Linked DNA regions of Mytilus edulis. The protein of the gene in region 2 binds, or shares a complex with, the protein of the main gene of each other region. Links are inferred from orthologs where the notes say so. Each region holds a gene or a part of one and is shown on either strand. Other genes may lie near its edges.

What was found.
Region 1: the proteins of probable cytosolic iron-sulfur protein assembly protein CIAO1 homolog (region 2) and cytosolic iron-sulfur assembly component 2B-like are in contact, whole or in part, in a crystal structure (PDB 6TBN), measured with the Drosophila melanogaster proteins. The link is inferred for Mytilus edulis from reciprocal best matches to the Drosophila melanogaster genes Ciao1 and galla-2. Residues at the interface, in NP_610996.1 of Drosophila melanogaster: Arg16, Trp18, Arg60, Thr61, Arg63, Phe79, Glu105, Lys107, Arg123, Asp150, Lys152, Tyr168, Asn170, Ser195, Thr196, Trp198, Thr216, Ser248, Gly249, Gln250, His251, Ser252, Arg253, Tyr256, Gly272, Asp273, Asp274, Arg277, Glu299, Gln304; in NP_648416.1 of Drosophila melanogaster: Ser74, Pro106, Lys109, Thr111, Ala124, Lys127, Gln128, Asp131, Lys132, Glu133, Arg134, Ala136, Ala137, Glu140.

What each region holds. Positions count from the first base shown.
Region 1 is NC_092348.1:64,360,256-64,372,953, forward strand, and holds cytosolic iron-sulfur assembly component 2B-like, read right to left. Parts: upstream 5,498-12,698; 5' UTR 5,449-5,497; coding exon 5,325-5,448; intron 4,052-5,324; coding exon 3,972-4,051; intron 3,154-3,971; coding exon 3,028-3,153; intron 2,523-3,027; coding exon 2,477-2,522; intron 1,236-2,476; coding exon 1,126-1,235; 3' UTR 431-1,125; downstream 1-430. Other genes in the region: cytochrome b5-like, read left to right, coding at 5,571-5,678, 9,315-9,351, 10,232-10,323. UniProt on the Drosophila melanogaster protein: Component of the crb-galla-Xpd (CGX) complex which is essential for proper mitotic chromosome segregation in early embryos. The CGX complex is also required for cell proliferation in developing wing disks.
Region 2 is NC_092345.1:69,383,564-69,396,048, reverse strand, and holds probable cytosolic iron-sulfur protein assembly protein CIAO1 homolog, read right to left. Parts: upstream 5,396-12,485; 5' UTR 5,342-5,395; exon of another isoform or gene 5,289-5,341; intron 3,068-5,288; 5' UTR 3,067-3,067; coding exon 2,673-3,066; intron 908-2,672; coding exon 297-907; 3' UTR 278-296; downstream 1-277. Other genes in the region: ras suppressor protein 1-like, read left to right, coding at 5,619-5,724, 9,441-9,491, 10,467-10,534, 11,455-11,507. UniProt on the Drosophila melanogaster protein: Essential component of the cytosolic iron-sulfur (Fe/S) protein assembly machinery. Required for the maturation of extramitochondrial Fe/S proteins.

The DNA.
Region 1 (12,698 bases), on a different chromosome or scaffold from region 2:
AAGCTGACTTTAACATCAAAATTCAATCTTTAAAAAAGATCAATCAAATGCTGTTTTGTCTGAAATAAAAAATAATTAACCACTACACTAACTTCTAAGAAAGAACATTTTTTACAGCAACACTTTTATATTAATATTTTATTAATAAGGGGAGATAACAAAAATCCTCTACATAAGGTAAGTGCAGCTTATTATAAGAGTCTTGCAGAGGGGCTTTGTTATTACAGTTTTGAGATGTATTATGAACAAAGATAAAATACTTAGTATTGCTTTTTGCAGAATCTGCTGTCTGGTCAATGAGAGATATGAATTATAATTTATATAAGTATATCACAAAAGGGAGATAAGTGTTGCAATTACAATTTAAATCTACATTAAACATGGGAGATAACTCTGAACAATAATTAAAAAAAAAAATAACAGACTAAGGTTGAGACTTAATGTTTTATTCATTCATGCACACTTTAATTTGAAATCTTTTCATGCTCAATTTAATGAATTTGATACAATGATACAATGAAAAGACCACTAAAAGCTACAACAATGTTTTGAGTGTAACATAACTTAAATTTACTATTTTCAATAGACTTTTTATGAAGAGCTTGTGTATAATAACTATGTGATCTTGTGAATGCAATAACTACATGAAGTCACTGTTGATCAATTTATTTATATATATATTCATAATAATTATAAATAACCAAAAATGTATTAACGTGTCTTAGGTATAACTATTTTTTATAACTGTACCAAAAGAGAAATGGGCTAATAACATTTTTGGGCTATTCTCTACTTTAAAATGTTGAGGTAGCCAGGCATTGGTAAAGATTATGTCTTAATTATTTTTTCAAGCAATTAAACAGAAAGTCGGCCTTATATTGGAGGTGTTAAAACTTTATCTATGAGTAAAAGTCCTGGGCTTTCTTCAAGCTTTTACACATTATGCAAGTTGTCCAGTTGTAAATCAAGTCTATCTGTTTTGATTGTTATTATTTATATTCAAAAGTCATTCAGCCATTCTGCATTAAAGATGGTCCTTGAACAACAGTTATAAAACAGTTTTGAGCCCAGGGCCTGAAAAGTGATGAAAATGCATGGATTTGGAATCAATTAGAAAGTAAATCTCTATCCGAGTTTTCTTTTCTGGTCATCCAAACACTGATTAACAACTTCTATCAAATGACTGTTCTCCAAAGCTGCAGCTACTCTTTCTTTGTCTGCTAATTGTTTGTTTACTGAAAATATAAAATCAATTATTGTAAAAGTACCATCTTATATCGACAGGGGTTCAAATGAGTGTGGGTCAAAGGTCGACGAACAGTCTTTACTATGAAGATTCTAAATCTACATAACAAAGGAAGATGACGTTCATTTTTTATACTGTTATGGGACTGTTGACTTTATAGAAAGGTCCTTTTACTTCAAAATTGAAATGGTCCCAAATAGTTCATTACTTAAAGAGAGAGTTAAACAACTGCAGTCAGTTGTACGAACATGTTATTAGCCTAATGTGTCATTAAGTCTTCATTAGCCTAATGTATCACAAGGGCTTAATGAAGACTTAACAAGTGAAACTGCGAGCTACTGCTCACTGATGATACCCCGCCGCAAGTGGATAATATTAATAGTGTAAAAATATGCAAGTGTTCGGTAAACAGGAAGTTGTCGAGTGATGAACTGAAAACGCATCACACGGTATAGCTGACTTATATAAATCCTGAAACCAAATTTCAGAAATCCTTGTATTGTAGTTCCTGAGAAAAATGTGACGAAAATTTTCAACTTGGCTATCATGTGTAAAATCAGACAAGTGTTCGGTAAACAGGAAGTTGTCAAGTGATGAATCTGAAAACGCATCACATATATAAATGTTGATACCAAATTACAGAAAGGGTGGATGTGTAGTTCCTGAGAAAAATGTGACGAAAGTTTCATGGGACGGACTGACTGACGGACGGACTGATGGACTGACAGACAGAGGTAAAACAGTATACCCCCCCTTTTTTAAAGCGGGGGTATAATAAAGCGGGGGTATAATAAAGCGGGGGTATAATTACATGTTCGTACAACCGGCTGCAGACATTTTATTTATATTATAGATGAAAAATTATTATATATGTTCTTTTAAAACATATAGAACTTTGAACACAAAAAATTCCAATTGAAAATGGTAGATAACAAAATGTTCAGACAGAAAATGGTATTTGACTTTTTTCTGATTCCAGTAATATTGGTGACAAGTTTCAATTTGTTTAAGAATGTTTGGCAATAGATAAAAGCAAACAAACGCTTTTAGTGCATCATTTTTCAAACACACCAAAATATCAAGATCTTGTGAATAGCAGCAGCAAGACTGGATTAAACAAATTTATACAATAATAACTGAATGCTTAGAATTTCCTTGGTGAGCCTATGTCTATATACTTTACATTTGAAATTAGAAATTTTTAACATCAACATTTTATAACAAAGTTACCTGCTTCTTCCGATGCATGTGCTCCAGGTGTTATTGAAACATCTACCTGCAATTAAAAAATTACATGATCTGACAGGAGTGAAAATCTTGTTGATAATTTTTGCAATTTTTCTATTTATCATTGTTTTTCAGATATGACAATCAGATGCTCCACAGGGCACAGCTTTATATGACTGCTAAGGTGAAACCCTGAACTGAGATATACTGTTTAGCTATTAATATTTTAATTATTTTTGTCTTTAATATCTTTTAAGAGAGCAGCAAAATATTCATATGAACCCAAAGCACAAAGTGTATTATTTTCAAATAAAAACTTCTGATACTTTTCTTTTTCTATCAGCTAAATCATTGATACATTACAAGAAACTCATAAAAATGCTATATAAGGTCTTGCAATGCTCTTGCTCCAATAAAAAATCCTCAGCTTACCAATAACAAGGATTTGTATAGTATAGTCTTACTATACAAATCCTTGCCAATAACTTTTTTGAAATTAAGTTTTTTTATTTTTAAGGATGTTTTTCTGTGGCTTTATGTTACATTTTTGATACCTTGAATCTTGGTGGCAGAGATCTTAGAAGTTTAACCCGAATAGACAATCCAATCAATGTTGCCATACTACAGTGTGGAATTGTGGGTGTAAATTCTATCGTCACTTTGTTAGCATCATCATCTACCTGAAAGAAAAATTCACATAACATTATGGTGCATATAATTCTAATGAAATGTACAACTTCTATTCACGGCTGTCTGCTCTTTGGTCGGGTTGTTGTCTCTATGACATATTCTCCATTTCCATTCTCAATTTAATCAATCTGAATAAAGTTAGATATTTCACTATAGCTCTTTTGAGATTTTTCCTGCGACTTGTCTGAAAACATCCAATATGGGAAATCAAGCACTGATTAACATGATTAATGATGTAATGTATTTATAATTATTATTTCCACTTGCAGACTCAAAACAGTCTCTTGAAAATATATCTTGAAGTTATGATTTTATTTCATCTGATTTTAATTTTCTTTTAGATATCTCTTGAATTCAAATGAGGGTTACGGACATTCAATTGCCAATACACTATATTTCTTTTTAGTTCTTAAATTTGTTTATGTTCCCACTCAAGGTGAGTCTTTTTTACAGCAGATACTTTATAAAAGGTTAAATAATGAACAATGTAGCTCAGAAGACAGTTATCCAGAAACACATCACATTATGCTTGTAAGATTAAAATAAATGACATTACTAGCATCTACTGTAAATTCAGTAATTATTGCATGCATTTATTATTGCAATTTTTGTCAATTTAGACTACAATGTGATTTTATTTTTTTGCCATATTGAGAAAAATCCTGTTTAATTTAAGGAAAAATTTCAAAATGCGAATTTAAATTATTGCTATTATAACCCTGTCCCATTTTTCACAATAATAAAATCATCGCAATAATTTCTGAATTTACAGTAATCTTTTTTATTCAGTTGATAGTAATATACTTACAATAACTTTGCTTTGCTCAACAACATTCAATTCCTCTAATGTCAGTGGATGTTCAGGGTCATTTATAACACGGATCAAATCTGAAATAAACATATTATTTAACTATATGCTACAGTTATGGTAAAGATAATTGATTAAAGTATCAATCAGAAATAAAAAATAAAGACTTAGAAATTTGCCCCCTGGCTCAATATGTGAATAGATATAAGAAGCTGTGGTATCAGTGCCAATGAGATCACTGTCCATCCAAGTCACAATTTGTAAAAGTAAACCATTATAGGTCAAAGAACGGTCTTCAACACAGAACTTTCGCTCACAATGAATGACAAGCTTTAAAGGGCCTCAAATATGACTAGTGTTAAACCATTCAAATGGTGAAGTATTGTCAACTATTAGAAGTTGATCAAGAAAGTAATTTATAAATATATATCTTTATGCTTTCAAAGGCATCAACTGTCATGGATTGATTTCATGGGTTTTACAATTGCTTTAGCGACTATAATCATGATAGTGAATGTGTATAGTTGTGAAACTTAAACCTAAACTACAACAAAGTATAACAAAAGAGATGATTTACATTTTCCCATAGTGACCTTTCCATATATCTGTGGAGCATGATAATCATATGATGAGCCTATATATCTCCCAATAGATACAATATCTCAGTGCTTGCAATTGGAACATCATTAGATAGTTAAGAGGCATTGTCACTTCCTACCAAATTATATGTTGAGGAAGAGGTTGAAAAAAATATGCTGATGTATTGCACAATTTATTCTGTATTCAGGGAATTGTGATAATAGTATTACGGAACAAACTTTATTTCCGGTTTATGCGGCAAAATGACAATTATAAAGACGCTTGATGAATTTAGATAGAGCAGAGATACATGGGATCCTATATATGGTAAATGATGTCATAAAGGTGCACATAATCAATTGACAATCTTTTCCAATGAAGGACATAACTGGAAGTAGAAAGTGGTCTATTGAGATATTTTGTATTGTAATGGCATGATAGGGGTTGGTAGTGTTTTTGATGTGTAAGGCAATATGTCGAAGTTAGGAGTCAAAGAAAAAAATTATAATGGCCTTTCAAGACGTCATAATCATTTAATTGGCCTAGGCAATATTATGCAGTGTTTAAGCACAGGCACTCGTCTCAAAAAAAAAATCCTATATACCTTTAGAAAAAAAAATCTGAGACGAGTGCCTGTGTGTTTTATAAGGGTGACAAGACAGACCTGGCAATACAGTTTTAATTTAAATGTTTACTAAAGTTGCAGCTTTAGCAAGTGGTACCCATGACATGGTTCTGATTTAGTCAGCTGTCGTATTATTTAGTTTATCTTACCAAAAACTTCTCTTGTATCTATTTTGTCTGTAACACTTTCATCTTCTTCCTCTGGTAAGACCGGTCTCTCAGAACCAACTTCGTATATTGTAGGATTTGCATTGTCTAAATCATTTTGGGACATTTTGAAGTGAATTTCATGCTAATCCGGAAAAATATTAAGGGGAGTAACTCTGTTCGTCCGTTTCGAATTTTATAAGTTTTCTTTCATTTCCGGGACATTCACGAAATCTCGACTTTTGCAAAATGACGAAAGTTTTCAGAGAAGCCGACGTAAAGAACAACACTGATAAAACAAAGACTCTTATGATCATTCATGATAATGTTTATGATGTTTCAAAGTTTCTTGAAGAGGTAAGTTATGATGGGCAGATGGTTTTAAAGACTTGACATTCACATTGGGACACATAATCATAAAGGTCAAGATGTAGGACGTACGAAACAAAAATTGAAAGGATAAATTATGGACAAATGAAAGAAATTCATCATTCGGCATGTTCAAAGCTAATACATGATAATAATTTTATATTAAAATGTAAATTTTATTGTACTATAATATTCCTGTGTATAATTTATGAATGGGTAAAACTGCAGTTCTGTATCAATCCACATTTTAACCTTTATATACAAGTACCATATGACATCATACTCAACACACTTAAACAAATCTTTCACAATTTAATTCTAAGTTAAAATAGCTATATTTTCCTGTAAAGTTCTTGGTCCCATTTACTATGTCCCAATTTTGATGTTAACAAAATAAAAATTAAAACAAAAATCAACAAAATGTTTAGACTCCCCTTACCGGTGCTTGATAACGAAATAAAGGGTCTAAAATTGAACATTGAATTCTTGGGGTTCTATGTTATGCTGAATCTAACCATGTATTTAGATTTTGGATATTGGACCATAAATAGGTAAATGTCTAATTTAAATTTTTTTGGAAAGATAAGAACTTGTTTTAAATCTTTACTCTAAAGGCACTGGCCTCCCTAACAACACTACAGGTTAGCTACCTTTACTAAATGTTTTCACACTGAAATATAGTTCCCTATAGTTCTCATGTATGTGCACATAATACACATATAAACTGAAAAAAATGGGTATATTTTTGGAGCAGTTCATTTAAGAATGTATATCATTAAAGTTTGTTGATGTGCAGGCTTATTTTAAAACATTTTGATTAGGTTATTGAGTATTGATACAATACTCATATGATTGACAACTGGCATTATCAACAAACAATAAGAGACAAGGTAGACCTTTAATTATAATGCCCCACCTCCTAAACTGTCAATCAAATTGACCACATTACCTTTCAACATCTGTGTTACATAATTATACTCTAATATATATGCAACTCAATATACAAATATTTGACCTCATAATTGAATACACAAATGTGTATATTAGATGTTTGATACATTTATTATTTCCTATTTCTTTTTATCTACATTATGATTATCAGGGATCTCCATGGCCTGTTTAACGATGGCGCCCCGCCATCGTTCAAATGTCTTGCGCCATCGTCAAATGACTTGCTCCATCGTTAAATTGTCTTGCGCCATCGTTAAATTGTCTTCCGCCATCGTTCAAAACTTCATCGTTTTTTTGTAGCCCGACGCCATTTTTTTTATCAATTATAATCAAATGCATGTCATTGCATAACCCTTAGGCTTTTTATGTTATAATCCAATACAGTTCTAACGCCTGGGGGGTATCCGGATTAAGATCGCTAATCACTTGTACCTGAGCTTGTACAGGTAGATCAACAAACCAGACAGGAGAATACTATCTGAGGATAGACGATCCATTTGTCGAATTAACCAAATAAGTTTCAGCAAATGATTATGATAATTTAGATTAAATTAATAAATAATCCAGTTACAAAGAAAACAGTTGAACAAGTCGAACACATGCTTTATTTTGACTTACGCAATCAGCATCCTCCTTTTTAAAGAAGTACAAAATAAGACGCAAAACAGTAAATATTATTTCATCGCAAATAACTTGAGTACTACTGTAACGATAATTTAGAATTACTTTAAAAGTTTAAAAGTAAAAATTTAAATATTTCCTGTAAAGAAATATCGTATCGTAATTCCGAATTCATTTCGTATATTACAATCAAATTGATACATCCGCGTTTCCGGTTACTTTTTTAGACTCGAAAGATGCGGCATGTTGCACAGCATCAATTTGCAAGATAAAGTCATTAAAAACCTTTTCATTTGTCAACATTTGCTTTATAAATCTCTTTAACCTTTTACATAACCCGTACGAATCGTTTTGTTGTTGCTGCAAATCAGCCATACCGGTAATGGGTTCTGAATTTGACAGTGTCCATGAAAAATAAGCTCCACATCATATGATTTTTAACCCCCATAACAATTACCAAAAATACAAAAAATCTACATGGGGACCTCCATGACAGCTTTTGGTCATTCTCAACTAAGGGGGGACCATGAAGACTTGGCATTTGAATGATTAAAAACGGCAATAAATGAAAATATTGATACTTCTAATTCTATAATGAAAATTCAAATAAATATAATTTAAATAAGCAATTGAATTAGCATGTTCACCATTCCCTGTATGGAAGAATAAAATACTTCCGATCGCGCTACACTTTACAGCGTAGTCACGGTTTGTAATGGTGAAAGTTCCTCCATCGTTCAATTTTCATCCATGGAGATCCCTGTGATTACATAAAGTGATTCTGTAAATTATGTCTGAAAGATAAATAATGGAATAACAAGATCTTATAAAAAAAAAAATGAAATATGAATATGAATATATATATATATATATATATAAGATATTCAAGTAAGGCCTATAATTTTCTTAATGAATTTCCAATAAACATCTGTAGACTGTAATTAATCAACAATTTAGATTGGTTCCCTAATTTTTTTTATCAGGATTTGGCTTGAAACAGTTTTAAAATTTTAAAACTTTTAATTATAACAAACCATTGTTTATTTAATTATTAGTTTATTCCCCATCAATCCACATTTCAATAAAAAAAAGTTTTTTTAATTTGTTTACATTGAAAAAGTACATTTTCAATGCCCTGTGTTGAAAAATACTTTAAATATTGAGACACTCTACGACTTTTAATCTTTCAATGTCATATAACCTATGTTTCACAAAACAACATTTTTAGATTATTTTTGTTGACACTTTAATGTTCTTAGCTGTTGGTCTCGATTTTATGTTCAGCACAGGCAACATTATTTGGATAAGATATAAACTGCAGTTTAAATAAAATTGTGCAAGTTAAGAGAGCCGTATTATTTAATTTGAGCTCATTTTATCCTCATACTGGAAAAACTCTTCTCCTTCTAAAGACCTGCTGTAAATGCAATTTTCTCCAATAGTGCTTTATTAATGATCATTTTCCCTCACCATACCTTAATATGAAATTATTCAAACTACTCTTCTAATCTTTCCATGAGTGATTTCCATCACTTTGATTAAGTTTAAGTTCTTAGACCACATTCATTCTGTGTCAGAAACCCATGTTGTGTCAACTATTTAATCACAATCCAAATTCAGAGCTGTATCAAGCTTAAATGTTGTGTCCAACTGTTCATACTTGCCCCAACTGTTCAGGGTTCGACCTCTGCGGTCGTATAAAGCTGCACCCTGCAGAGCATCTGGTTTCATTTTAGTTCATTTAAATGTTTTGGAGTTTTGTATTACGTCCATTTTCACTGAACTAGTACAGATTTTTATTTAGATGATGCCTACCTCTTGATTTGGAATTTTCTTGCTGCATTGAAGACCCATCGGTGGCCTTTGGCTGTTATCTGCTGTTTTGTCCGGTTGTTGTCTCTATGGCATATTCCCCATTTCCATTCTCAATTTTGAAAGTGATGAGTGTACTTGGGATAATATACTCTCTATTCATGTAATTTGTTATTTTAATGAGTAACCACAATCGTAAATAAATAAATATGATTTTAATATTAGTTTCCTGTATTTCAGCATCCTGGTGGAGAAGAAGTATTATTAGAGCAATCAGGTATTAGAAAAATCATCTATATTTAATAATTGAAAATGAAATAACTCCACAAGCACTTGAATTTAAAATAATCACTAATTGGAGAAACTAAGCAGAAATATTTTGTATTATTTCACTTACTTAGGCCAAATAAAAAAGTATGTGTGGTTCCAGTTACATCTGAAAAAAAGTTAGGGTAAGTAGGTAGGGATTTTTTTTTTACATTGAGTCTATGGGAGCAACATTCTGACTTTAACAGTGCTTAATGAAAAAAGACAAAAAAATCTTTAGAGTAGGCTATTTTTGAGGCGAAAAAGTAGGGAAGGTAGGTTTACTGGAGTCACACATATGTTTTTATTTGGCCTTATTTTGAATGAAACTTATACAGATGGAAGATATAGAGACTGGGACAGAGACATTTTAATTTTGGGATCAATAGATCTGAGGTCAAATTCACTGCTTAATAGTGGCCCCTGTCAACCGATTGAACTCTTTGAGGAGTCAAAGATACACCTGTCTTCTCCATAAGTTAACATTTCTATTTGAATGAAAGAAGATGTGGGACAAATGTCAATCAGATGCTGTATCTTAGTCTGCCATACATGTATATCAAATTAAAGTTAGATTTAGATAGGTTACTATGCAGTTGTAGTTACAATAGCTTGAAACTTAATATTCATCTTTTAACGTAATTATATACATGTACGCCAAGTTAATGTTTCAAACCATATTTCAAATTAAAAATATGATAGGGTAACCAGGCATATTTTATTGACATTTGATTGTTTTTTGTTGTTTGACTCATTCCATACAACAGATAAAATCATATCAACGTATTCCCTAATATGCAAATCATATAAGAATTACTGACCTAAAACTTTTGATTCATTGTTAATTTTAGGTCGAGATGCCACTGAAGCATTTGAGGATGTTGGTCACTCTACTGACGCTAGAGATCTTATGAAAGATTACGTTATAGGAACACTACATGAGGTTTGTTTAATGAAATAGTGAAGACCAAGGTTTTTTTGGCAATTTTTGTTTAAGAATTAAGGGGGCATTATGTTTTCTGATCTATGTCTTATTCTGTTATATATCAGATTAGAGTTAGAATAAGATAGTTAAATTTGAATTTGTTGTCACAACAACTTGAAACTTGGTATTCATCTTCATTATGATGTTAATTCTTAATTTAATTATATATGCTAAGTTAAGATTTCAAATTGAAAATGTGATAGGATTAATGGGCATGGTGTTTAATGGACATATATTTGATTGTTTTTGTTGCTTGACTGTCATACCATACAACAGATAATTTTTCAACATGATTAAGAGAGAAAGCAATACAAAAAATACCTTATTTTTAACACTGTGACATATACACATGAAATTAACAATATAATCATTTAAAATTTAGATCATTCTAAGGGGTCATCCATAATTGTCAACCATTTTCCAAAGTGTACAAAACGTACACTTGGGGGGAGGGGGTTAAAAAATCAACATTTTTACCGTACGCTTTTTTTTTATATTTGCGGAATTTATTTCGTTTCCGTAGGGAAAGTCGATGTATAAAATCAAGAATTGGCTTGGGTGTGTTTCTCCTCTTGTTTCTTCTTTATTATTTTCACTTGATGATATTTATTTCAATATTATAATTCTCCTCAATCCGGATTGAACGAAAAAAGATCAAGTCATATGAATAATTCAAAAATGTGAATAGTAAAACTATTTAAACAAAAAGTTTGCAAGCATTTCTCAGTACCCCCGATTGTCAATTTCACCTGATTTATTATAGATCGTTATCGTTTCACTCTGTTTAATAAACAAAATCGACGGAAACACTAAATTCTTTGAATGTTGTGATTTTGACAAGACGCAATTTTGTGAAAATATTTTAAACTGGTCCTTCGATTAATTTCCTCGTAAATAAAGGCAACAGTAGTATACGGCTGTTCAAACTCATAAATCCATGGACAAAAAACAAAATCGGGGTAACAAACTAAAACTGAGGGAAACGCATTAAATATAAGAGGAGAACAACGACACAACACTACAATGTAACACACACAGAAACGGACCAAGCATCAGACAAAATCCCATGAGAATAACAAATATAACATCAAAACCAAATACATGAATTTGGGATAGACAAGTACCGTGACACGTCTTAATTATCGCAATGTGAATTTACACTCAAAAATAAGGGAAAACAAACGATGCAACGTTAAAATGTAACACACACAGAAACGAACTATAATATAACAGTGGCCATATTCCTGACTTGGTACAGGACATTTTTAAAGGAAAAAATGGTGGGTTGAACCTGGTTTTGTGGCATGCCAAACCTCCCTCTTTTATAGCCATGTGAAATATAACATTAAAATGACAACGCAACACCACAGGACTACAATATAAATAAATTGGAGAACACAATTGACAAAGAAACACACGAACAACAGCCAACAAAAGGCAACAAGTTCAAAATTTTAATGCATTCCAAAATAGTAAATCAGTAAACCGTTAGTAAACTTATTTTTCTTAGTATAAGCCTCCTTTAATTAGGAACACCTCCATATGAAGTCTAACCTTAATATCTAATATATGTACACGTTACAGTATATATACATAAACCATAATAGTGCCATGAATGGCATATTTACAGGGACCTTTTAAATAGAAATACAGGCGGGAAATTTAAAAACTTAAAATGTTTTAAAACATTAATACACTTTTATTGATTGTTGTCTTGAGCTCTGATTCCATCAACAACTGTCAGTCCATACTTTACCAATGCAATATAACCATGCATTTCCTTTTCTTTGATTCTTAACAAAATTTAAGTGCACTTTTGTTAATATTTTGCATGCTCTAGGTGCCCTTTTTCATTGGAGTTACCATTCCCACTGTGTGATAGGGGAAACACTATTCTTTGTACTCTTTATTCTGACAAAACACAAGCATCACAGATAGATGTCATCAAATAAAACAGTCAGATATGTTTTAGTTTAATATTTTCAATGCAAATTTTTATATTAAACTTAAATATGATAAACAAGATCTTGTTTTTATTAAGAATGATTGATTCTTCTCTTGAAATCTGAAAATGGTTGATGTACACTTTTTGAGGGAGGGTGGGGGGTCTGAAAAAGTGTACGTTTTGTACACTTTGGAAAATGGTTGACAATTATGGATGACCCCTAAATATTAATCTAGTAAGATATCTCTGTCTGAATCAAATGTTGGACGGGGTCATGTGAAATGTTCAGTGGCAAATATTGCATGCATATTAGGGTGAGAAGGTTTTGATGTATATGAATGTAAACCTTGCTTTGTACAGCAAATTGTATTAGATTTTAATGTTAAAC
Region 2 (12,485 bases):
ACTGACAGATGTAGACGTACAAGGATAAAACTTAATGCCTAATCCGCTAGTGGGGGCATAAAATTTTTGTTTTGTTTTTGAGGACACCAGTTAATACTCTGCCCTGTCAGGATACATATTATATAATATTTTACACTTACAGTATCTGGTTACTTGATAACACCAGATGAAAGTTTTGCAAAACTGATCTATTCAAATAATGTAAAGAATATGATGAAAGAGATTATCAGGAGAGATAGGATAAGTTATGGCTTATTGTTAAAAAAAAAATGCAGCATTTGCAATATAATAAATATTTAATTTTCTAAGTATTGCCATAATTTGACACTTCCATCATCGCTACAAGAGGCTAGAAGTCCAGGGATCTTAGGGTGCCAACATACCGAGTTAACATCCTGTTCATGTGCTTTGGTTACTGAGCATATCATATTAAAAGACGGCTGATTTTTATCTGAACAGTCCTCCTCTTTGAAAACCCTAATACAGTCATCTCCACAAGCTGTTGCTATGTAACCAGTCACATGACTCCAATCAACATCGTAAACTGTTCTATCATGGATTCCAGCTAATGTACTAACACATTTCCAAGTGGGATTATTACCAGTGGTAACAACTCCTTCTGTATTTCCTGGAAGGTATTCCTGCCAAATTTTCAATGTTTTATCATCGCTACATGATGCTAATCTTGAACCAGATTTATCAAAACACACTTTCCATACTGTGGAATCATGGGACTCTAGTGTACTGTAACATGACCAATCATCAATCTCCTCTTTGAAGAGTTTGACTGTGTTGTCATAGCTACACGAAGCTAGTACCTCCTTATTTGGATGCCAAGTCACATGTTTTACATCTTGCGTATGGGAACTTATCACACTTGCACATTCAAAATCTTCATCTTCTGTTACTAAAACACAATAAAAACATATTATTATAATAATTTGTATGACAATGTCAGTATACATTGTAGTTCTTACTGTCTAATACCTCTGCAATCTTCTGTTACTAAAACACAATAAAAACAATATTATTATAATTATTTGTATGACAATATAGTTCTTACTGTTTAATACCTCTGCAATTGGTGAATATCTTGATTTTACCACTTATTTTATATAAAAGTCATGATTTCTATATTATTCAATTAGTGATTTCCCCTAAAGAAAAATGTTGGTGGGTAGATGTCACAAAATCTATTTAATCTCAGGAAAATCAAATCTAAAATTGTTTATATCAGCATTAAAATGAATTTAAACAAGAGGCTGTCACAACGACAGCAAACCGGATTTATTAACATTTATTTGTGTCCTGGCAATATCACAAGAACCATTACTGATGAATGATGAAAGTGAAAATCGTCAATATCAAATTTGACCTCCATTTTGTCATCAGTATCAACATATTAAAATTTGAAAAGCTTAGATTGAATGGTTTTTGAGTAAATGTAACAACGTGAATGGAAACGCCATTTTACGATCTTTCAAGAACCATAACTCCTGAACGGTAAAAGTCAAAATCGTCATAATTGAACTTGACCTCTATTTTGTCATCAGTAACAACATATTAAAATTTCAAAAGCTTTGGTTGAATGGTTCATGAGAAAATGCACGGACACGACTGGAAACACCATTTTTCAATCTTTCAAGAACCATAACTCCTGAACGGTAAAAGTCAAAATTGTCATAATTGAACTTGACCTCTATTTTGTCATCAGTAACAACATATTAAAATTTCAAAAGCTTTGGTTGAATGGTTCATGAGAAAATGCACGGACACGACTGGAAACACCATTTTTCAATCTTTCAAGAACCATAACTCCTGAACGGTAAAGGTCAAAATCGTCATAATTAAACTTGACCTCCATTTTGTCATCAGTAACAACATATTAAAATTTGGGAAGCTTTGGAAGAACAGTTCATGCTTAAATGCACGGACATGACTGGAAACTCCATTTTTCAATCTTACAAGAACCATAACTCCTGAACAGTAAAAGTCAAAATCGCCATTATTGAACTTGACCTTCATTTAGTTGTCAGTAACAACATATTAAAATTTTAAAAGCTTTGGTTGAATGGGTCATGAGTTAATGCACGGACAACATTTGATTGCCGCCCGCCCGTACATCCCCAAATCAATAACCGACATTTTTGTCACAAAAATCCGGTTAAAAACACAAATAGCTCAAATGACATTGAAAATAACACATATATACAAAACGCAAAAAATATTCAGGACTCAAAAAATTTCAATTGCTTGATTAATATATTTTCCCACCATATTCATGATATTCATCATCTACATTTGTTAAATATATTTTTTATATGAAAAATTTATCCAAACATACTGACATACATGACATGTACTTTATTTTGAAAATGAAAAAAAAATAGAATCAAAATACATTATTTAATGCAATCTCAGTGTGTGATGTTTTTTATACACTGCTTACAAACATGTTATACTGCATCAATTTAACCTTTTTTTATGTTGTAAAATAATTGTACAACATGACATGATAACACAAAGATATAAAATAGTCATCACTAGATAAATACATTTATAATTGCAATTCCTTTTTAATATGCAATAGTAGCATGGAGTTCTAGTGTATAAACTATATCTTATATTTTATTTGAAATACATGTACATGTAAGTACACATTAGTTTTATACCTTCCCAAATCCAAACACTTTTGTCTCTACTGCAGGTTGCAAGGAGACTACCAGTACATGACCAGGATACAGCCTTTACTTCATTTTCATGGCCCTCCAATGTTGCAATACATTCAAACTCTCCTTCTTTTCTGCTCCATATACAAACTGTAGCATCAAAACTTGCACTAGCCAAATAACTCCCACAAGGGGACCATCCAACTGCACGTATTGTTCTCTGATGTCCTTCAGATAAAATAGATTTGCAGACCCAGTTGTCTCCCTCTTTGCCCCAGATCCTTATAACTTTATCCCCACCACTAGATGCCAGTAATGTGCCAGAAGGATTCCATGCCACACACCATGCTCTGTCACTGTGACCATCAAAACTACACACTTCTTTAAGTTGAGCCATTCTGTAATAAACAGGAAAAGTATATGACTAGAACCGAAATAAAATTCAACATACTGTACATGTAGTTTAAGGTACAAAGATTCAAAAAATGATTTTTTTTTTTACTATAGATGAATATTTGCATGTTTGTCACCACTGCCAGCGAATATGCCTCAAATTCCCCTCTATGCTGTGGTATTTGACATTTTTTATATTCCATGTTTACCCTCACGAGTCTCTTCCCGTCAAAATTATTCTAAACCTTATCACCTTATCCAGATTATTCAGGCATGATTAAATTGATAAAGGTAATCCTAACCAGATGCTTCGCAGGGTGCAGCTTTATACGACCGCAGAGGTCAAACCCTGTACAGTTGGGGCAAGTCTGGACACAACATTCAAGCTTGATACAGCTCTGAATTTGGATTGTGATTAAATAGTTGACACATCATAGGTTTCTGACACAGAATGAGTGTGGTCTATTAAATGTAAAAAAATTTTTTTACCTTTTATGGTCTAATATCCAAAATCTAAATACATGGCCATGGATTGATTCTGCATATTAAATAATCCCAAGAATTCAATTTTTGATGAAATCAAACAAAGTTAAATTTTGGACCCTTTTGACCTCATTGTGGACCAATTTGATAACAGGGCCCAAAAATCAAAATACATGGTTAGATTTAGCATATCAAAGAACTCCATAAATTCAATTTTCGTTAAAATCAAACAAAGTTTAAACAAAGTTTGATTTTGGAGCCCAATTTGAACCAACTTGAAAACCGGGCCCATAATCAAGTTTAATTCTGGACCCTTGGGACCTCATGTGGACCAATTTAAAAACGTGGATCAAATTCAAAAAACTTAATTCACGGTTAGATTCAAGAATTTAAGAATAAAACCCCTTTTAAATTGGTCAAGAAATAAGTAATTTATACAAAGTATTAGAAAAGTGCTGTTTTTGGCCCCTTTGTGGCCCCTAATTCCTACACCGTTTGGGCCATAACCCCACAATTAATCCCAACCTTCCTTTAGTGGTATTAAACCTTCTGATAAAAATTTAAAGAGATCTATTCATTAAAACTAAAGTTATTGTCCGGAAACTAAATGCCTCTTCAGACGACGACCAGACAACGACAACATGATAGCATAATATGACGCGTCGTATAAAAATGTGCACAAATTTTAGACAACAAAACTACTGCACAGCATGCACCCCCAATCTTGTGATTGTTCTATGAAGTATGTGTTGCGTATATAAAGTGAAGGTATCAGGTCCATTCGCGCCCAATATATTTTCGCAACCCTACACGGTCGCACCTCACATGTTCGCACCCGAAGTCCGTTCGCACCCAATTTGTATTAGAATTTCAGTTGAATTATTAGATATTTTTTTATATGTATATACCAAATAATTTTAGTTTCTTGAATAAAATTTGAGGGAATTATAATATATTTTTTTTTTATTAATTTGATGATTAATTACTAAATGTTAATTATGTATGATTACTGCTAATTGGTATTTATACACAGCTAATTTGGTGTTATTTTTTAGTGTATAAAAATCATGATAGTTGTTTTAAGTCTTTGCTTTGATGTAAATAACTGCATACAAATGTATATATTTAGCTTGGTATGACAAAACTTTCAAGATTTTAAATAAAAAACATGAAATATAATTGTTTTTAACAGCTTGTCTCCTCTGATCTCATTTGTGTTTGGACAAGTATGACAATATGATGGATTAATATTTATAGCAATACACTTTTCAAAACTCGTTTACAAATTATTGAACACAAAACCAATACTCGATCATTATTTAAAAAAAAAAAAAGATATGAAGATACAATGTACGATTTGTATTTCATAGTATATGATAGTTTAAATAAAATTTGGGCGTGAACATGTAGGGTGCCAACGTGAATAGGCGCGAATGTGAATAATAAGACATCTTTACAAATGACCGATTTAATAATGGAATGACAATGACACATACATGTAGATACCATGGCATTACATAAAGACTGTGCTAATGTGTAAAAGTACAAGTATAATTCCCACGGTAGTCTCTACTTATTTACAAAATTAGACATAGATAATAAACATGTTCATGGATTACTACTATTACTAGTAAAAAAAGGTGTCCCTTCAGCTGAACAGAGAGTTTCAATAACATATATTTGGTGTAATTAAACAGATAAACATTTTTCATTATGTTATTGAGGGGTTGTTGCGAAAAATACCAGTCTAATACTCATATCAGTCAAGTAATTCTATCCTTTTCAATATTATTTACATGAAAAGTTGTATCTACATGGGCGCTGACATCTTGAAAGTAGTTTTATATATTAATACGCAAAGATGGAAAAGTTACATATTTGTAATGAATTTAAGTAACTTTTTTTAATCAATCACCTTCTTTTTGATAGTTTTGATAACATTATACTTTTAGGATTTAGAATCAGATATTTATCACAGGACTATTTTGGCGTCGTATTGAAACGGAAGCTGCTGCTAGGCACTTCCTTATTTTTGCTTTTCCTAAATAGGACATATTTTGGGTGTCGACAATCATGGCAGCAAAAGCAAAGAAGTTTATAGAGGAGTGTAAGGATACCAAAAACAATGAACTGGAAATTGTTGATAAGGGCATCAATACCTTGGAAATTCCAGGATTGTGTATGTTTGCATGTAGAAATGGGGGGGATAAGAAATAAACAAACAACAGTCAACACCATGGCTGAAAGATAAAAGCACAGGAATCTTACATATCTTGATCTCATACCTACCGCTAACCCAGTTTTAATGGTATCCAGTCGTTCCGGCCCCAAACCGATCCGGCCCCAAGTCAATCCGGCCCAAAGTCGATCCGGCCCAAGTCGATCCGGCCCACGTCGATCCGGCCCCAAGTCGATCCGGCCCCATAATAAAATATTACGATTATTAAGGGTATATAAATTGTCTCTAACTGTCGCCTGGTGAGATTAATAGTTTAAGGTAAAACTTTATGATACCATATGGCCTAGGTGTTGATTGACTTTTATTTTTATGACCTAAGATCAGTTCCTCAGATATGGTAATGAAATAGCACCTGTACCTTCTTGAATATACAGACGATCTGCTAAGTGAACATCACAGCATGAATCTGTCCATTTTTGTGTGAAGGTAACATTCAAAGTCAGGTGACATATCTAACTGTTCCTTTTGTAATTAAGATTAATTAACATAACGGTCAAAATAGTCTGTTTTAATATGTCCGTGGAATTCTCAGATCTGCAGTGACATCACAACATGTAACTGACCAATCAATGATTAGCATTTGTGTTATGTAAACATTATTGAGAGGTGATGCGGATAAGAATCCTCTAGATTTTCCATAGACTTTAATGCAAATTAATTTAATTGATATATATTGTTACCAGTTGAAAATAGTAATTTTACTCTTTTAATATTGTTAAAGACACTATATAATATCTCCAATTTGATTTTTAACGTACTATAAACTCTGGTTAAAAAATAATCTGCAATATAAATAATCAGTGATCACCTTCAAATAGATGAAAAATCTAGAGGAATCCTGATGGCATCACCCCCTGAAAAATGTAAATGCCAGGATGTCCGGATCTGAGAATCTTCAGCTTTAGAAGAATGTAACAAACTTTGTATTTATAAACGATATAAAGTAGTATTTGGTTTTGAAAGATACTTAAATTTTCATTGTAATGTATCTATATTAACAAAATTGTGTAGCGGCACACTTAGATTAAATGTTGAAGTTGGTCGTTATCTGAATACTCAAAGAGAAAATAGAATTTGTATATGTTGCAAAATGAATGTTTTGGAAGACGAATATCATTTTGTTTTATCATGTCCAACGTATAGATCTGTGCGCATAGAATTTTATATTTATTCTACTATTCTTGGCCAAATCGGCATAAGTTAGATAATTTATTCTAAATCTCTGACAGTAAAACTATATGCATTTATTCAAATGCAGCCGCTTGGAAAATTAGATCACATATAATGTCATAATATTATTGTATACTCTCAGTCTGTAACTTCTGTTCTCTGCTGCCTTTTATTTGTTATATGTTGTATATATTTTCGTGTGCCATAGCATGTGAAAATAAATTATGCATATGACTACAGTAATAATGATGCCGATCTGTTAAATCAATAAACTGATAATGCCCCCAGTTTATCAAATCTCGTATCTAATTAGTCGATAACGCAAAATCACGATCGATCTTGCACATGCGCATTGCTTCCCTGAACTAGAGTATTAACTAGATTTTGGAGGAATTTTTCACAAACTTTAACAGTATAAATGGAATTTGAAAAAAGTGTCCGATCGATGATGGATGACAACAGGTCAGTGATGTATTGGAGTACCAGTTAACGAACTATTTTACATCCATACGAAAATTAGTGTTATTGTGTCTGTTTGTATCGCAGTTTCTACATTTTTGAATTATGAAGTTATTTTCCATGATAACTTTTACTTTGAATTTCATGGCGATTTTTATTTTATTCAGTTCACACACAGAATAGCTAAATAAATATTTACAGTCCAATGGACCTATAAAATTTAACGCATAATAATGACTTATTTAATCAAATCATTAGTCTATAATTGGTTTGTTTATTCATCAGTTGTCTGATGATTGTGAACTAAGGTAATGCCATTTGTAATCACTTAATTCAATCCAATACTGATCAATTAAAGTTACGTAATCTGTTTTTTCAACAAGGTCTTTCAGTATAGTTTGATCATGGAAGTAATATTACTACTTCCATGGTTTGATCTTCTGGTTGGTGTATATTATAATAATTATTTGTATTTTTTTTTTTCAGGTTACATCATAGGCTTCTTTAACATATAAAAATATTCTATTCTATAACACTTTTTTTTTGTAACATCGGATATAGTCATTATATTTTTCTTATTTTGACAATATTTTGAATAGTGTGTAGATAAAAAAAAGTCATATGAGTATCCATTATTCTTTATTGCAAGAAAACAACAAAACAATGACATTGAATGCACGTTTTCACTCTCTAAAATATAATATCAGCACTCTTTTATAGAAAGGATTCGGCAAATCAAACATTTCTCAATTTTAGAAATTTTAAGAACTTAAAAAGAAAAACAAAGTTTATATGTATCAGCTTGGGGATCGGCTTGTACCGTTCATGTATGTAACTACTTGTTATTATATGTTACACAAGATGAAAGACTTGTTAGGATCACAGTCAATTGAAAGAAAATGCTAATTAATGTTGATTAATGTTGATGTCTGAATTCTTTTATATACGTTTTAATATAATTATACCCAATAATCTTGAAAACTTGTAATGAAGACATAATCAACCTAGTTGTTTTATACTCATCTAAAGGAAATATTTTTCAAAGGCCTTTTTTGCTTTCTTCACCGTACACCTTTAACATTATAATAAAAATAATAAACATTTATGAATTACAATTAATATATATTTATTTTTATTCCTTAGAAATATTTTTTTTTATTGGGGCCGGATCGACGTGGGGCCGGATCGACGTGGGGCCGGATCGACGTGGGACGGATCGACTTGGGCCGGATAGACGTGGGGCCGGATCGACCCGAAAGCGTTTTAATTAGCGTTGGGCATTTGTTCTCCTGTGTACAGCATTCCTGAGTACTAGCACTTTACTGTAAAATCCTGCAATGACCACGATGGAGGAAAGCCAACACAAACATTGAAGCAGTCTAAATTATACATATACCCTTTGGTTTTCTTTTTTTTATTTACTTAGTCTTTTTTGTGTACCTTTAAAACCTTATACTTATATATTTCTTAAATTCACATACACATACATGACATATATCTGCCTATTACGGTTAAAACAAATTATTTGGCATATCCAATTTCTCAACACTTTGCTTGGCTGCAGATGGACAACGTTACAGCTGCTAACTGCCATTTTCAAATCAAATCAAATCAAAGTTTTATTTATTGTCAATACATAGTAAACAAAGTAACACAAGCTTTTCTCTGGTTCTGGCTTTATGTGAATTTTCTATATCTTTATCATATGAAATGGTGTATGATTGCCAATTAGCCAACTCTCGACGATCAATGACACAGAAATTAACAACTATAGGTCACTGCAAAGCCCATACTGCATAGTCAGCTATAAAAGGCCCCAAAATGACAATGTGTGATACAGGCCTTTCCTGTCAGGTTTTTTTTTTCTTCATCTTTATGTTTTAAGATTGTTTGAAATATTTAGATGTTGGTATACATGTACATCAATGAGACAGCAACCCAGCAACACAAATAACCAAATGACTTCACAATCCAAAAGTCAAATTTGGGAAGGCTTGTATCTAAAATTATTTTCTTTTATTTTGCAGATGATTTAAAGCATTTAACCAGACTTACAATGCCACACAATAAGATAACAGGTAAGTTTATCACAAGTACTGATCAAATCTTGTCAAAGATATTCACTCAGTGAAACTTGAAAAATATGATCAAAGCATAAACTATAAAATAGCAATTATACTAACTATCATGACTATTTGAGTCAATGTAATTCAATGCAATTCAAATGATTTATCCATATATAATCCAATAGATGGAATGTCACCATAGAAAAAGACAACATAAAATGTATCTTTCAGACACATTGTAATACATTAAATCACGTGTGTGTGGTGACTTAGTTTAAGTGTTAAGCATGCGTTCTGATAGCCTACAGGAACTGATAAATATACAATTTAAGAACAGTTTAACATTCTTAAATGTGCTTATTCCATATTTTAATAATGTAAAGAGATCACACTAAACATGAAAGCAGAATTATACAATACTTGAATGGACAACAACTGATCTAATACCACTATGGCCTATGATGATAATTATAATACTTTATTTCTGTAAATTGAAAAAAGAAGATTTGGTATGACTGCCAATGAGACAGCTCTCCACAAGAGACCAAAATGACACAGAAATTAACAATCATTGGTCACTGTACGGCCTTCAACAATGAGTAAATCCCATACCTCATAGTCATGATAGTCAGCTATAAAAGGCCCTGAAATAACAATTCAAACGAGAAAACTAATGGCCTATAAATTTATGTACAAAAAATGAATGAAAAACAAATATGTAACACATAAACAAATGACAACCACTGAATTACAGGTTCCTGACTTGGGACAGACACATACATAGAGAATGTGGCGGGGTTAAGCATGTTAGCCAATTCAGCTTATGGATCACAACTTGAATAATTAACCATTACTTGATATATGCTTTTTCTGGAGAACAAAACACTGCATGTTTTACACCAAATGTATGCCTATAGTTTATATAGACTTTGATAATAAAGATATACACCAAGAAATAACAATTACTCTTATTACCTGTTACTTTAGTGGTACCTGATGTTATATCTGAACTAGTGAACTTGGAGCATTTGAATCTCTTCAATAACCACATCAAGGTAAGATCATTATACAATTATGGCCCCCTGAGGCAGTGTATATCCAAATCCCGAGGGGAACAACCCTTACTCTGGTTGACAATTATGGATATTCACCGACTCAATGGGCCATCTTTGTTTTATTATGCTGAACAAACAAATTACAATAAAAATTAAGATATTGTAACAGATTGTGAAAACACTTACATTTTTAGAAGCTTTTGTGTTTATTGACATTTCGCATATATGACAGTATATGTACAACAAATGTGGATTCTTTCTGTAAAATATAGATTTTGTCAACACAAGATGAATTTCCATGTCTTGTTTGGTCAAGTTTCTTCATCACTTTATGGACTTCTTTAAACCTGGCCGTTATTGTTCTTTCATCTGACGTTAATTGACGTCATAAGTTAAAGAGAGTTAACTCCTGACCATTGAGGTACGACTAGGGTTATTCAACAAGATATAATATGGTTGTTCAATGGAGGCTTCAATTTGTCAGGGTTATTCTCAGACATAATAGGGTTGTTTGCTGAAGGCTTCAATTTGTTGGGTGTATTCACACGAAGCTTCTGATAATTTTTGGAAAAGCATTGAAATTAAACTATGACACATGATTCTATATTAGCCAATGAGATATTTACTATATAATGTAAGGTATAAATTACTTATTGCTTTAAATTTATCATTGTGAAAACATTGCATATACATTTGAACATGTACATAATAAACATTTTTAAGAAAAAAAAAAAAAAAAAATGAAGATGAAATCAATGTGTCTTTTCTGGTTTTTATTGTGTTATTGGGTAGCTGTCTTGTTGACCTTTACCCTATATTTCTTTTAATCAAAACACTACTATAACATTTGTTGAAAACCAAGAACAAGTACCAAAGTGATATAAAGTGGAATTTAATTTTTTTTTTATCTTTAATTGCAGGAATTATCTACATCTATCAGCTCTTTAATGAAGTTAAAATTATTGAATTTAGGGTAAGTTTACAGAAACCAAAAAAGAATTAATAAGCAGGAAGAAAAATACAGGGTATACATGTATAAGTTAAAATAATTATATGAGACAAAAAAAGCATAGAACAGAAAAGTATGTATCAAAAAAATACTAGTGTTATTATAAGAAGTTCTAGGTAAACAAACACTCCATAACTATGTACTACTTACATTTTTAAGAAAACATACCTTTCATTATTATATAGGTCTACCTTGCATAATATACATATTTAACGACTAATCATCATGACGTCTAAATTTTATGAAAATAAGATACATTTACTAACACTCAAAAAACAACAACATCAAAATGTATGAATCAAGGAAAGAGATGGTGAATTCATCAATTAGACAAACCCAACAATACAACCAAACCTAAAAAGACAAAGTACAACATTATCCAAATTTCATCATCATATGGAAACACTCAATCACCTTGAATCTAAAGAACTTATGAATGAATTCAACAGAATTCCAACAGTCTGCTATCGAAACATCCAATTCTTCAACAAAAAAAAACTACTTTGCTATAGCTCCATGTATAAATGATGCAGACTTTAAGCTAAGATGAGGTTTCTTCAAAAATGATGTTATTTTTAAGACAATCTGACTTTCTTAATTTAAAGTTTGTCATTCAGCATGTTCAGTAAAAGAGTAAATGTAGCAAAATTATCCTTTAAAGTGTTTTTATGCCCCGTCTACGATAGTAGTAGGGGCATTATGTTTTCTGGTCTGTGCGTCCGTTCGTTCGTCTGTTCGTTCGTCTGTTCGTTCGTCCGTTCGTCCGTCTGTCCCATGTCAGGTTAAAGTTTTTGGTCGAGGTAGTTTATGATGAAGTTATAGTTGCATCCATTTGTAACTTTACATACATAGTCATTATAATAGGGAATTTCTAAAAAGTACCTCAAATTTAGGTTTTGGTCCTCATTTCATGGTTCATTGAACATGAAAATGAGATTGTGT